Linked DNA regions of Saccharomyces cerevisiae S288C. The protein of the gene in region 3 purifies or fractionates together with the protein of the main gene of each other region. This does not show direct contact. Each region holds a gene or a part of one and is shown on either strand. Other genes may lie near its edges.

Region 1 (3,178 bases), on a different chromosome or scaffold from region 3:
GAGAAGACATGATAATGAGTTCACTTACTGTCACCGCCTGGGAAGCTTCCTCTGGTCCCTGTGCGGAAATGCATCACCGCCTAGCGACTCCCGCCGCAATCAGTGCCGTGCCATCTAGCGACGCCGTACGGCCACTCTACACTGCCAGCGACGTCGCTATCGGTATTGGTTGCCGTTAAGTGAAAAAAAAACAAACATCGCTATCTCAACAGAGTTCCACTGGGAAACAATAGACGCACTTTTATGCACCCTGGTGCCTTCAAAAAAGAAGTTTGACTAAGAGGGCTGAGGCTTAAGCTTTTTAACCGTAGTAGTTCAACTATATAAGATAACGATTTCGAAAAATAGGAAAGATACAACCATTCTTTATCGTACCTATAAGGATGTGAGTCCTTCTTATCAGGGGGAGTTACGTAAAAATGATTCCCCACTTTTTGTCTTCTAGAAACAAACCAGCCCCGCTGTCAAGATAAGCTTAATTTTGAATTGCTTTTTTTTTTCTTATCTTAGGTAAATAGTATACAAGCACTTACATAATTGATAAGAGAGCTCATGAAAAATGGATACCAACCTGGTGAAAAGCATATAATAGCCTTAGGAAATCATTTTGATCACATTTACCCGCTCTTTTGTCGCCTAAGTCGGTCTCCTTCAGAACTGTGTCAATCTTTTCCTTGACGACATCGTGCATAGAACCCTTTGTATCATCCACCATTTCGTTGTTCATCGCCAAAAATGTCTTATAATTCTTCTCCAGAATGTCCATCACGGTGGTCGATTTGAAGCCAGCTGAAATCGTTCTGTTTTTCCTCACAAAGACGATTCTCAACAAACCATCCCATTCGTTGTAATCCACTTGCGGTCTTGGATTTTTAATCTCTAGTCTAACAACGCTGGATTCCACTTGTGGTGGCGGTCTGAAGTTATTCTTACCCACTTTCATGATGTGTGTAACATTAGCCCACATTTGTACATTGGCGGATAATCTACAGTATAATGAGTCACCTGGTCTTGCCAGTAATCTTAAAGCAAACTCTCTTTGAAACATAAGAATAGATACTCTTGGTGGTCTTGGTTGGTTAATTAATTTGAAAACCAGAGGCGATGAGATCTGGTAAGGAGTGTTACTAATACAGATATCAAAGTATGGTAATTCAGTCTTCATAAAATCTCCAAGCATGATTTCTAACTTTTTCTCCACAGGTGTGCCACGTACCCTCTTAGTTAATTCTGCAGCCATTCTGGGATCCATTTCTACTGCCACTACGTTTTTTGCTTGTTCGAGGATCCTTACAGTTAGGTTACCTGTACCAGGACCAACCTCCAAAACAACATCTGAGGGTCTAATCTGTGCCTTATCAACAATACCTTGCGCCACCAAAGGATTTTTCAAAATATGCTGACCTAGATCTGTGTTGAATTTAAATACTGAACTCAAATGTTTCTCGGCAGAGACTTGTTTGGACGAAGTTGCTCCGGAGTACTTCTTTTTCGCAGCCTTTCCCATGGTATAATTTTATTTTTATTTGTATCGATATAAAAGGTACGACGTCTAAAGCTTCTAACCGAATGAGTCCACTGTATAATGCACTGTTCCTAATTTATCGATCTTATGTTATAACCAAATATTTTCAATTTTCAGCTCATCGCGATTTTCAAAAATTTTTCTACCCTCTAACCCGGGTAATACACAAGGATGGATTTATTATTATTATTGATTCTTATTATTATTACTACTCTGTTAGTAATTTACACACGAGGTGAGGAATACGTGAATGAATTAAATTGGTATCGTTAATTAATTATTAGACGCTAACTGTGTACATTATTTACTCATCTTCATAGACGTGGAAGGACAGTTTTCTCACTACTTTTTTTTCACTGACGTCATCGGTAGAACGGGATATCTTTGTCTCTGGGTTCTGTCCTTGGTGTTTACTAGTGAAGAAAATAGATATCTTCGAATTTCTTGGCGGCGTTATAAAACTGGGTAGGCTGATTTTTTTATCACCCAGTGGCAACGTCAGTGGTATAGTCTCATCGGTGAGAGGATCCTGTATGTAACCTTTGAATTCGTCAACACTTAAGTCCTTCAATGCAATTCTTCCTCCTTCCCTTAAAAATGCTCTTTCATAAGGGCAAATTTTAGCGGGTGAAAGGTTTTCTTTTACTTGGGAAGGATTATTCTCATTGCTCACAGAATTGTTATTATTGTATATTTCATTATGTCTGTGGACAGCTATGTTTCTTTCTTCAGCCGTTTCCTCATACAGCATAAATTGTGCAGCTTTAGAAATTTGGATTGTCTTTATTGGACTTCGCCTTAGTGCATAGTCTGTGTCTATTTGTGACCTTCTCTTTGATGGTGAACGAAGTTCATTGCCTTTTACCACTGCTCGTGGTTTTTGGTTTATATTCTTGCTTGATAAAATGGTTCTCTTTTTTGATGGTGATATCATCTTTCAGTGTCTCTTACTTTATTTCTTCCAAAGGATCCTAATTCAGTAATGCTTAATATGTTCTCCTTTCTTTTTACTTTATATAGTATGATAACAAAAGCACAAAACTTCAGAAAGAAGACGCGTCAACGCGCTACGCGAAATATGCATCAACTTTCTGCTGAAGAGAAGGCAATCAGCGAAAAACAGAAGTTGTTATTGTGTATTGTCGTGGTACTTCGTCGTCCCATTTGATATATCCATTCTAGGTAATCATGTTGGTATATGCAAGTAGGTATATGTACGTATTTATGAATATGTGTATTTGGCCGGAAAAAGATCGCCTATAAAATTTGTGTATGAATAAATAAAGTGCAAAATATGTATTGTTCCCCCTCCATGTTAAACAACGGAATGTGACGATATCCCATCCTCAAATAGTTCAGCTTAAGGCAAACAGATGCAATCTGGGTCTCTTCAGAGATAACCATGAATTTTATAAATGTGAGGTCTGTATCTTTCAATGTGATAGAAACTTCAGCATCCCATATTGGGTTGAATCCATTCCCTTGAGAACTCTTAGTGGATGCTTCAGTGGCAGAAATCCTTGTACCCTTATCGATTGAGATGGGCATTGTCGGCTCGTCATCGGTATGAAACTCCACTTTAACAAAGGAATTGGTGTTATTTCTGCTTGGCGATGTATCATTCAATCTGGGCAATAACTGTGTAGATAAAAT
Region 2 (7,895 bases), on a different chromosome or scaffold from region 3:
TAGAGTTCTGGAAGCATGATATGTTTTGAAACAAGTGCTTTTAGGAAATTAAAAGCAAGGCCTTGTCTGCTTGGTTCATTTAAATCTGGTAAGACCCTCCCTAGAACATAACTCAAAGCAGTATCCTTTAATGTTGAATCTGTGTGACGTATAAAGGCAGAAAGAAACTTTAAACCCATTTGGCATAATTCGCTTGAAGTTGAAGGAGAAACCTTGATAATATTTAGTACCTTCCTCGCACAGTTTTTGAAGATTTCACTAGATTCATCGGAAAAATCTAGCCTAATTAATGTAATCAGGATACGTAAAGTACTAATTACCACACCTTCATTTTCCGAAAGTAACGAATCTCTCAAAAATGGAATAAAACCCTCTAGGTGCGAGACAGTTAAAAAGGAGCGGTGTCTCGTTATTACGTTCCTAAGTAAGTCTAAAGCAAATTTTTGTAAAGTGCTGTTCAAAAGCAAACTGTTTGAGTTGATGGTATAAGATTTCGACTCCAAATTTACCAAGAAAAAGTCTTCTTTTTCATCTACTTGGTCTTTCACTTTTTTCTTTGGTATTTGAGGGGAATTACTCATTTCTGATTCCTGGAAAAGCTGATGGCAGAACTTGAGGATACTTTCTGACTCAGAGTCACTATTATGATTTAAACCCAACAAATATCGTCTCAATAATTCACTCAGTTTGTTTTGATTTCTTAGATTAATTCTGACCATCAACAAAGCCTTCACAGGAGAGAGTAATGTTCCAAATTCTGTCAGGCTGATGTTTGAGGCGAGAATTTCACCAGCATCATAGCTTTTATTACTCTTAATTTCTTTCACTTTTGTATGATAATTCTCAGAGTCTTTTTCTTCACCAGCGAACCCAAAGATATTTTCCATTATAATCTTAACAATCATACTGGACGAGGTATCCAAATCGGAGTGTTTTAAGACTCCGTGCATACTCTTTAATATGTAGTGGACAGTGTAACTTAACACATGAATTTGAGAACCACGTTTTAATGTAGCCATTAATTCCTTTATCACAAAGACAAGATACTCAGCGCCCAAGATAATACTGATTTTACCCAAGGTTACTCTTACTGCATCTCTTAATTCTTCGGATTTACTTCTCAAAACTTGGCAAATATTTGTTAGAATACTAGGGAGGAAATTAGTAATATCATCATTTGTGAGCCCTAAAACAATATTAACTAATGCCTCCGCAATAGGCATTCTTTCAATTATAGTTTCGTCATCTCTAGTGCCAAGAATTTTCGAAAGAGTCGGATACAATTCTTGCTTAATAAAATTACTGGGTTCATCTAAGTTGGAAGGAAATTTGCTCAAAGTAAGTTTCGACTCAGCCCCATCTCTTACGATACGAAGAGTTTCTCTAAGTGGAACAGAAAGTTGAACAATTAATTGTACGGCTTGCTTCATTTGGTTAGGCTTGGTTTTCAACATAGAAATGTACCTTCTAAGAAGAGCTTTGTATTGATTCCAACTCATGTGCTGCGCCAACCCTCCGATGGCTATTTGGGTCTCATTTCCAATATTTCTGTATCTTTCATCATCCGAAAAGACATAATGTTCGATCATTGGAATTAAATAATGGGATATACTGTTATCTTTGAGTTGATGAGCATGTTCACCTAGTCTTTTAATGGCTCTCTGACGACGATGAAGCTGAATATGATTAACGTTTGTAAAAAAATCTGCTTCTTCATCACCATTGTACAGTAAAATGGCCATATCTTCGAAGTCGGTGAAATATTTCGTGTTTTTTACCATATATGATAGCACTGATACATACTCACTTTGTACCTCTTCTAGGGAGTCTCTGAGGCCAATCCTTATATTGGGTAAAAGTATATCCTTCAGCATAGAAATCGATTTTGAAGCTTCATTAAGATTAGGCTTTTCGTTAATGAAGTCAATAAACTTCATTATAGCGTGGGATGCGTTTGTTCTTAACGCAAGTTCTTCCTTATTATTGATAAAATGTAAAAAGGTGAACAACAGAGGTAACCACTCTAACTCACTGTAGGACTTATAACCATCTTCAATTAACCCCTTGAAAGTTGATAAAATTCTAGGAAAATCATATTCATGCATACGTGATGAGGAGTATGAATTCAAGTCCGCAACCAATTTCGAAATACTTTCTAATTCAGGAACTTTTCTACCGAGTTCTATGAAGAGCTCTGTCAAGGAAACCCTGAGGTTTCGCTCGTCAAATGTTTTGAACAAAGAAGATATGGTAGTGTATAGTTCTTCAATATCACTCCAAGAACAATTGTAGTTGAAAACTATCAGCTTTAATATTTTCAAAATTTTTTGGGTATCATTTTCCTGCAGTTTTTTTAGCTTTCCTTTTAATATTGATATTAATGAACTAATTAAACGACTTCTAACATGATCATCTTGAATAAATCCCATCTCAGTGATACTAACTAGCAAATTCAAAAATGTGGAAATCGAGTTTGAGTCAGAAAGTTTGACATATAGCGAAGGAAGTATTTTCAGACATGATGTGCAGATGAGAGTCACCAAATCTACGTAGTGATCATCATTTACTGGATTTCTAATAATTGAGTCCGCCGCTTCAATTATTGGGCCAATAACAGCTTCCTTAACGTGTTGGTTTGATATGGTGTCCATCAATGCAGTGGCAGTTGCAAATTCATCGTAATACAAAAACTGGTACAGAGATGGATTGTGTGCCCAATAAAGGAAAAGTCTTAGTAAAGAGGAGGGTTGTTGTAAGTTTTCATCCGAAAAATGTGAAATACGAGGCTTAACTACAACGGCGTAAATATCTTCCATAGAAGTAGACCAATCAAATGTATTTCCAACAAATTCAAAGACACTACTTAAACATTTTAGACCTTGTTGCCTTAAATTACTTGCCATCTTTCTTAAATGTACCTCCTCTGTGCTCTCAGTATCTAAGACATAGTATGCCATAGCAATTGAATAGATCAACGGCTGCAGCACTGAATTAGTATGCAAAGGAAAATTTGTTCTTAATACAGACAGAGTAGAATTTACAATGTTAACGAAACCAGTCATCCGTCTGATAGTTTTCAAGGTAGCCTTTGAGCTATTTATTTGATGGCTGTTCCCAAAAAAATAATTATAATCCAGCCTTTCACTAGCCAAACTCAAAAAATCATTAATATATGGCTTCTTAAAATTTGGCAAAACTGAAATGACAGCTATTTTGCGGCTTCTTTTCTGTCCACTAGTTGGGGGGACTTGTGCTCGACCGAAGAAAATTCTAAGGACATAAGGCATGACTACCTTTTCGTCCTCAGCCTTGATAGACTGCGACCCATTTTCGGTTAAAAAAGTCGTAATCTCGTCCTTGAATAAGGTGTCATCTAGTAGATTTTTCAAATTATCTCTATATTTATTCAACGTTGGATTTTTGTATGCAAGAAGTGCGTCCAACGCAAGCTTCTGAACGTCTGTATTACGGCTACCCAACAGTACCATCAGATGATCGTGCAATTCTGTTGCACTATAAACATTCTTTATATTTTTGAACTTGCTTAAAGTCTTTAAAAACACGTTTCTATCAACTTCTGTCCATGAACCAGTAATAACACGTTCATTTTCCATATCCTCTTCATCTTTGTAAGTCTTGAAGTCATTATAAACAAAAGGTGCGATGTCGACGAAGTGATTTTCAGCAACTTGAGGAATCGATAGCATAACTTTTAGAGCCTGATTTCTAATTAAAATTGGGTAGGTGGTGTTCCCCCTTCTTTCAATAGTAGTAGATATAATGCTCGTATTTTGAGTAGAATACTTTGACCAAATATGTGAGAACGTATCAATAGTGTCCCTTAACCTCACTACACTCGAATCCCACAGAACTTTGTTTGCACCATCTTCAAGAAGAGGCTGGTAGTAATCCAAATTTTGATTTTCATCAGGAAGTTTAATGAATGATAGCACAAGTTTCCAAACGAGGGCTTCATCTTTTGTGTAAACATTAGGAAGAGTGTCAAAAACACCAGTCCAAACTGGAGAGAATCTAACGGTAAGAAGGCCAAATAAGTATTTGAGAAAGAAAGAGGATACTAGCTTGTCTGTTTTGGTTTTTCCGAATTCGGCACCAACATTCTTGATTCTAATGGTTAAATCTCTGGCATTTTGTAGTGTAAGAGGTATTTCCTCGATAACCATACATGAAGAAAGGAGGTCAGGTACTTGCATACCCTGCAAAATCATTAATGTCTTCATTAATTCTAAAGTTTCATAACGAATCTTCCCATCAGGCAACATAAAATTATCTGTCAAGCTAAGGAGTAGACTTGGATAGTGTGACATTAGTCCTTTTAAGCTTTCTGAAGGATGAAGATTACTCACTAACTTGTTCCATCCTCTTAAAAAGTTTAAACTTTCTTTATAGTTTTCGTAATTATCCAGAATAGTCTTTAATAGATTATTCCCTGAAGCGTCGTCTTCTTTACGATATATTTTTAAGAGTGTACCGACCATATCTTTCGTAAAATTATCTGGTGATGCAAAAGTTGAAAAGATACGTTCAAGCAATGGGATAATAATTTCTGTATTCTGTAATTTCGAATATTTAAAAATTATAGCTCGCCAATATATTTCGAAAAGGTCATTCGAATCATTAATTTCTGCTGTGACAAAAAAATCTCTGATAGATAAAATAAATTCTTCTGGGAAATTTACTTCCCGTACTTTCTGCAGTTCAGGCTTATCATCTACTTCTAGAAAAAAAAGTGCAATTTTTTTTCCTTGTGATTGCCAATTTTTCTTTAAAAATAACTGTAGGAATTTTAATCCATTGAATGAAAATACTCTTTCATAGCTTAGCCTTAAAGCAAATTGAAAGAATTCAAGGAAACAGTCAGATATATTTGTTAAAGCGTAGTTAAAAAGTTTTTGGTGGAATAATGTTAAAGTTTTCACGTCACTGTTACGAATAAATAAAGCAAATAGGAAAGCCACTTTATCCTGTGAAAGCGAAGCACAATTTTCACTTTGACTCATTATTCTTTCAATTAGGATAGTAATTTTATTCCAATCAGGAATTTTTCTACCACTTTCCGAGAAGACAATTGTTGTCAATACTTTTAATATTCTATCGATATTGGTGGCATCGAGAGAATCGTTAAAATCCTGATACATAACTTCATAGACTGGAAGTAAACTTTCGATTGAGGCGTACTTACTAATGTTCATCCAAATATCTGAGAGCAATGAAACAGATCTTTCCGGGGATGATTTGGTCAAAGCTTCATGCAAAAGAACGCTCATGATAGCTTTAGCTTTCGAATGCAGAGTTTCTTGCGTTGACGTCATGGATTCTGTGAATAATATCAGAAGCCCTTCGTAGAGGTTAGTTTGCTCATCATCTCCCTCTAACTTTTCAAAAACTGATCTAACAAACTCGCGCAAGTTAGAAACAGGACACTTTCTTACTAAAAAAGATAATGCTTCTGCTGAAAATCTTGAAAGATATTCCTTAGAATGAGACAATAGTGGAATTAAAAGATCACATGTGAGTACCAGTTTTTTAACCAAAAATTTCGAGAGATACTTGAAAATATAAGCCAAACAGTTGAAACCCCACTCAAAAACATTAGATGACTCAAATTCTATAGCAGCGTCTAACAGATTTATTAAAGTTTTGATAGCTTCTTCATAAAATTTAAGAAAATCTGGACCTAAATCATGACAAAATTGAGCCAAGAGGTCCAGAAGCGGTTGCAAAGAAAACTCATCGTGAAAGTTAATGAATGAAACCAAAGAATTAAAAATCTTTTTATCATGATATAGTATTTGGGGTAATGTTTGAACATCATGCTCAATTTCCGCTGCAAACTCCGTAAATTTGGCACTTAAATTAATTTCTTTCCACTGATCAAAGGAAGCGAGAAAATGCGACGACTCGACATAATCATGTACCCTTTTTTCCAAATTTCTAGCCGGTTCAATCTTCAAATCGTCAATCCTAGCCTTGAAGGAAGAATATCTATATCGCTTAGACGATTTAGTAGTTTGTCTTTGTTTAGCCATACTTTCAATGAAATATGTGTAACTGATACTAGAAATATACCAATACGGCCAACAACGTAAAACTGGATGTAAACAGGAAAGAATATGATCTTTAATTTACAACCTACACTACCTGTTTAATCGGTGGTTTTTACGCTACCAAATTTAATAATGCAACTTTTCAATGCTCATCGGTAAAAATTTTCGGAAAGACATAAACTCAAAATTTTTTCTTTACAAAAGTCCGGGTGACATTACATACATACGCCTTCAAAACACTACCTTAGAAAATGAAGCGAGAGGTACATTTCATTAGCTTTAAATGAGCCAGGAAGAAATACACTGCAGCCGATATAACTCATATAGCATACTTTTAACGGGTGATAAGTCGTTACGAAGAAGGCCAAGTTCTATGCCAATCTTTTAATAAAACATAAACGTGATGCTTTTACCACGTATTCCATTGACTTTACGTACTCTTATTACTGTCCAAAAAATAACGACAACTGCAGGACTCGAACCTGCGCGGGCAAAGCCCAAAAGATTTCTAATCTTTCGCCTTAACCACTCGGCCAAGTTGCCTCGTTTTACATGATATCATAACTTACCAGAATAAATAAACCGTCATTATGAATTATCTATAAATATCAAACATGTATGAAACTGGGAATTCTGATAAATTTTGTCATAACTGTTGGGATTCCTGAGAAATGGGGGAATGTTGAGATAATTGTTGGGATTCCATTGTTGATAAAGGCTATAATATTAGGTATACAGAATATACTAGAAGTTCTCCTCAAGGATATAGGAATCCTCAAAATGGAATCTATATTTCTACATACTAATATTACGATTATTCCTCATTCCGTTTTATATGTTTCATTATCCTATTACATTATCAATCCTTGCACTTCAGCTTCCTCTAACTTCGATGACAGCTTCTCATAACTTATGTCATCATCTTAACACCGTATATGATAATATATTGATAATATAACTATTAGTTGATAGACGATAGTGGATTTTTATTCCAACATACCACCCATAATGTAATAGATCTAATGAATCCATTTGTTTGTTAATAGTTTGAATGTTTTTATCGGAAGAGGTTTGGTCATTACGTCTGCAATATTCTTTTTGGTTTCGATATAGCATACGTGCAGATGATTTCCTGATACTTCATCTCTCAGTCTCATTGCTTTAGTACCAAAAAATCTGTTTCTAAATTTCTCTTCATTATTGGATATAATTATACTGATTGTAGATTTACTGTCGGTTAGTAATCCTTTGGTAATTGGTTTCTTGTCGAGTTCTTGTATCAGGTAACTTAGATTATTTAATAATGGGACAGATTCACTTATTGCGTGTATTTCTGCTTCCGTGGTTGAAGTACATGTTAATGAAGCCTTGGTGGACTTTCCTCCAATTACTTTTCCATTAAGTAAATATATGTTGCCAATTTGTGATTTATAATACGGTTGGTTACCATACGAGGCATCGCTTATAACAACTAATTTATTTGTTGGCTTAACAGGTTTGCTTTTGTGCCATATTAATTGCTTATCTCTCGTATTCCATATGAACTGTATCAATTCATATGTCATATCTAACACTTGCTTGGACGGAAATAGTATATGTTGTGCAAGTGTGTTGATGTAGTATAATAGGTCAAATCTAAATTTATATCCAACATATGATGCTAGACCTATCAGCTTTTGCATTTCATGTACCTTCATTTTGTAATCATCTTCTTCTAGCTCTAGTTCTTGCTGGTCTATATATAGACCTGGTTGACCTGGAGCGCTAAGTTTCCTTCCTTTTGGGTTCAAAGGTACGTTTAGTTTGGGTATTTTTTCAGTTAATGAG
Region 3 (3,402 bases):
CAATTCTGGCAGCTACTAAGCCATTGGAGCGAATATCCATTGTGAGAAGTATGAAGATTGAAACCGAAATAGGGGAACAATATCAGGGACAGGGCTCAGTATTAAGAAGTGTTGGAGAACTAGAACAGTTTTTGTTTACGATATTCAAAGATTTTTTAAGAAAGGAGTTAGCATGGCCAAGTTGGATTAATCTGGATTTCAACGATGGTGATGAGTAATTTAACAAAGATAGTTTGAAAATAGTGTCTACATAAAAAAACAAACATTTTTGAGCTGGAAAATTATATTTTGTCATGAAGTAATCTATTCTTAACGCGCTTTTCGCATACGCTCTTTGATGATATTTTAGATGACCCAAAAGAGTTAAAGGAAATCATCAATGATCCTCCAGTAATCTTATACTCTAGACAGTTGTCCGTGAAGTTACACCTAAATAATCATATATATATATATAACTTATATACAGTGGTCTAATATCTATTGAATAATATTAGAACATGCTATGCAATCTTTTTGCTTGTGTTTGTGAAACCAATACCCTTGATAGTAGCTATCATGTCTTCATTATCCGCCTCGTCAACTGGTTTTAAAAAGACTTCAGTATTAAAGATCTTCTTAATATCTCTCAAGAGGATTATGAATCTTTCGTCTATCTGTTCCTTATTAATTCTCAATCTGCCGATATCTTCTTTCCCGATGACCATGTAAACAATTGCTAATGGAAGCTGGTTTCTACCAACTGCTGCACTCTTTGATATTTCTTCTAATAATTGACAGGCAACTTTTTCACCAAGTTCTTCAGGTATAGAACCTGCATCACCGATATCTTCTGCAAAATAACTCCAACCTTTCTGCTTGGACTGAGCAACCAAAGTAATACCCCAGCCTGGACTCTTCCCTGAATTTTCACCTCTCCAGACATCTGCCGTTATGTTAACTTCGCATTGCAGATTTTTCAATACCTTCTTAGCACCATCGATCATTCTATTCACAAGCGACGGACTTACTCTGGTAGAGTATGCTACACCGGTAATCGATGAAATTATGGGCCTATCTATTTCATGCATAGTTATAGGTTGCGCAATCAAAGAATCAACAACCAAATGCACTTCGCCACCTCCTAGTGGTGGTGAACCTCTTTTCAAAGTATGTAGGGCGCACTCTCTAACGCCAAATTTTTCCATAACGGGCATGAGTCCCCATTTGATAGCTTCAATACCGGCATCGTTGTGAGATGCAGTTATGCCTTTGAATAATATAGAAAATTTCTTTTTTGAAAATGGAGCCAAATATAGCATTGGTTCGACGAAATAACCTACCGGTTTGGAACTAGGGCAGATATGAGTTGATGCACCACCAACTATGATACCGGGCCTATAAATCACAGTAGTACCGGTATAAGAAATTTCAATTACACTCCCGTTGGTGACCGACTCGATCAGCCTTAGAAAAGACACTTCATAATCTTTCAGACCGGGATTTAAGTCGCCTGAACGGATTTTTTCAATTTTTATTGGTTTCCCTGATAATGTTGCCAAGACGATCCGTAACCTAAAATTTTGTGACCCTTGGAAAGTGGTGTATTTGGGGGCGGAAGATGACATTGCTATACTTTTGGAGGATTATCCTAGTGGAAAAGTGTTGACAATGGTGAAGCTTGACAGATGTTATACCCTTACAACATACGTAGCTTATGAAGGCTCATCTCATCGGCACTTTTTTGCAAATTTTTCTGAAATTTTTTCAATCTCGAGTCCGTGAAAAATTACATTACCAATATGGCGAGGGTAATTCTGACATCCTCCTTCAAAGTAAGTGCAAGTAATAAAAGCAACTTGACTACCCATTTAAAGTATTAATACGCTTTGCGCGGGGTTATAATTATAAAGTTATATCTTTTAAAGAAGAGGTCTGCTATATATAGACCTCCGATGTCATTAGTGAAGTTCCTTAAACATGGTCTTGCCCGAAAGGGATGATACTTCAATGCAAAGGGGAAATGCTCATTTTCTTTTTTTATTTTAGTTTTTTAGTGATTTTGCTAGTCTTTCAGCTTTATGTTTCGTTATTTTATAGTGTAGTTCTTTGATTTTTATTGCCTCATTTTGTATACCGTTATTACGCAAGAGATATTATACTGCTCCGGTAAACATCAATAAAGTAAGCATAATCATAGCAGAGAACTTTACACTTATGCCAGATAAATGTGATCCAGAATTAGTAGCTGCCTTTTTCTCAAGGGTTGCAGTAGCCGAAGGAATTTCCGAAGACGAAGATGAAGACGATGATGAAGACGATGACTGGGAAGCTGAAGATCCGGCGTAAAGACTTTCTTCTTGTCCTATGGAGCTGTTGAAGCTATTGACGTTGATAAAGGAGTGGTGAACATCCTTTTCAACATCTGGTAATGGGGTAGTATCCAGGGTACCATTCCAGCAATAATTTTTAAAACAGGTTTCACATTCCGGAGGCAAAGTAATATTCAAAGCTTGTTGCTTACGTCTAATGATGGCGCAGCCGACGCAGCCCATGAATTCAGGATCATCAGTGAAGTTGTTCCTAGTTGCAATTTCAAACCCGTTTTGAATCATACTTCTTCTTTGGGATTCGGAATATGATAGCTTGAACGCGCTCTGATTACTATTGAAAGAGTATTCTGCATTTGGCAGATAAACAACTAGAGGTGGAATATATTGAAGATCGGTCAAATTATTAGCATCGCAACCGAAGAAGGTTGGTTTCTTGTTCAAACCCAAATTAACGAATGTATTCGTATCTGGAACATATGGGAAGGACATACCTTGACCTTGCTTAACGAATTGACGCTCATAGGTATGGACTAAAGAAGAACCGTCAGGCCAAGCCAATCTCATATCGGCAGAATTATCTACCGCAAAAATAATGTCCACATCACGTTCCTTTTGTATAAGCGGTAACACAGGAACATTTTCGTCGTCTTCACCGCCGTCAACTAAGAATAGGCTGTCTGAATCAACAATACTTGTCGTATAGTCACTATCCAAAAACTTCGTGTCTTTAAATGGATTAGGACTGTAAACAGCGATATCATTAAAATCTTGAGATAAATCCTTTAGAAAATGTCTTGCTAATCTTGTGATGAAACTAGGTAAGTGAGTGGAGTTTATTCTCAAAAGAAACTGGTTAAATAAGGTGGAGGAAGTACCCATGATAAAACCTGCATTATCAAAGCCTGCGGTACATTTTCCCCTTTCCAATGGTACACCATTGGAGACATTCGTTCCAAGGTACTTAACGTTGGCAAAAGAGTTCAAAGAGGGATCCCAGGATCCCATTTCAAAGGGATTAAATTCAAAAACCGTTGCGTTCAAATTGATGACTTTTGTTCCAGGATACCTACCGTCCGCAACAGAAATTGGAAAA

What was found. The genes of interacting proteins can lie anywhere in the genome.
Region 1: the proteins of RCL1 (region 3) and DIM1 purify together in Saccharomyces cerevisiae (affinity purification with mass spectrometry; 2 studies listed by BioGRID). This does not show direct contact.
Region 2: the proteins of RCL1 (region 3) and UTP20 purify together in Saccharomyces cerevisiae (affinity purification with mass spectrometry; 3 studies listed by BioGRID). This does not show direct contact.

What each region holds. Positions count from the first base shown.
Region 1 is NC_001148.4:37,450-40,627, reverse strand, and holds DIM1 (putative dimethyladenosine transferase), read right to left. Parts: upstream 1,508-3,178; coding exon 551-1,507; downstream 1-550. Other genes in the region: ACM1 (Acm1p), read right to left, coding at 1,830-2,459; PLC1 (phosphatidylinositol phospholipase C), read right to left, coding at 2,783-3,178. UniProt on the Saccharomyces cerevisiae protein: Specifically dimethylates two adjacent adenosines in the loop of a conserved hairpin near the 3'-end of 18S rRNA in the 40S particle.
Region 2 is NC_001134.8:225,791-233,685, reverse strand, and holds the start of UTP20 (Utp20p), read right to left. Parts: upstream 6,051-7,895; coding exon 1-6,050. UniProt on the Saccharomyces cerevisiae protein: Involved in nucleolar processing of pre-18S ribosomal RNA and ribosome assembly.
Region 3 is NC_001147.6:306,140-309,541, reverse strand, and holds RCL1 (rRNA-processing endoribonuclease), read right to left. Parts: upstream 1,605-3,402; coding exon 501-1,604; downstream 1-500. Other genes in the region: ERMES complex subunit MDM12, read left to right, coding at 1-218; PLB3 (lysophospholipase), read right to left, coding at 2,133-3,402. UniProt on the Saccharomyces cerevisiae protein: Does not have cyclase activity. Plays a role in 40S-ribosomal-subunit biogenesis in the early pre-rRNA processing steps at sites A0, A1 and A2 that are required for proper maturation of the 18S RNA. RCL1 activates BMS1 by promoting GDP/GTP exchange.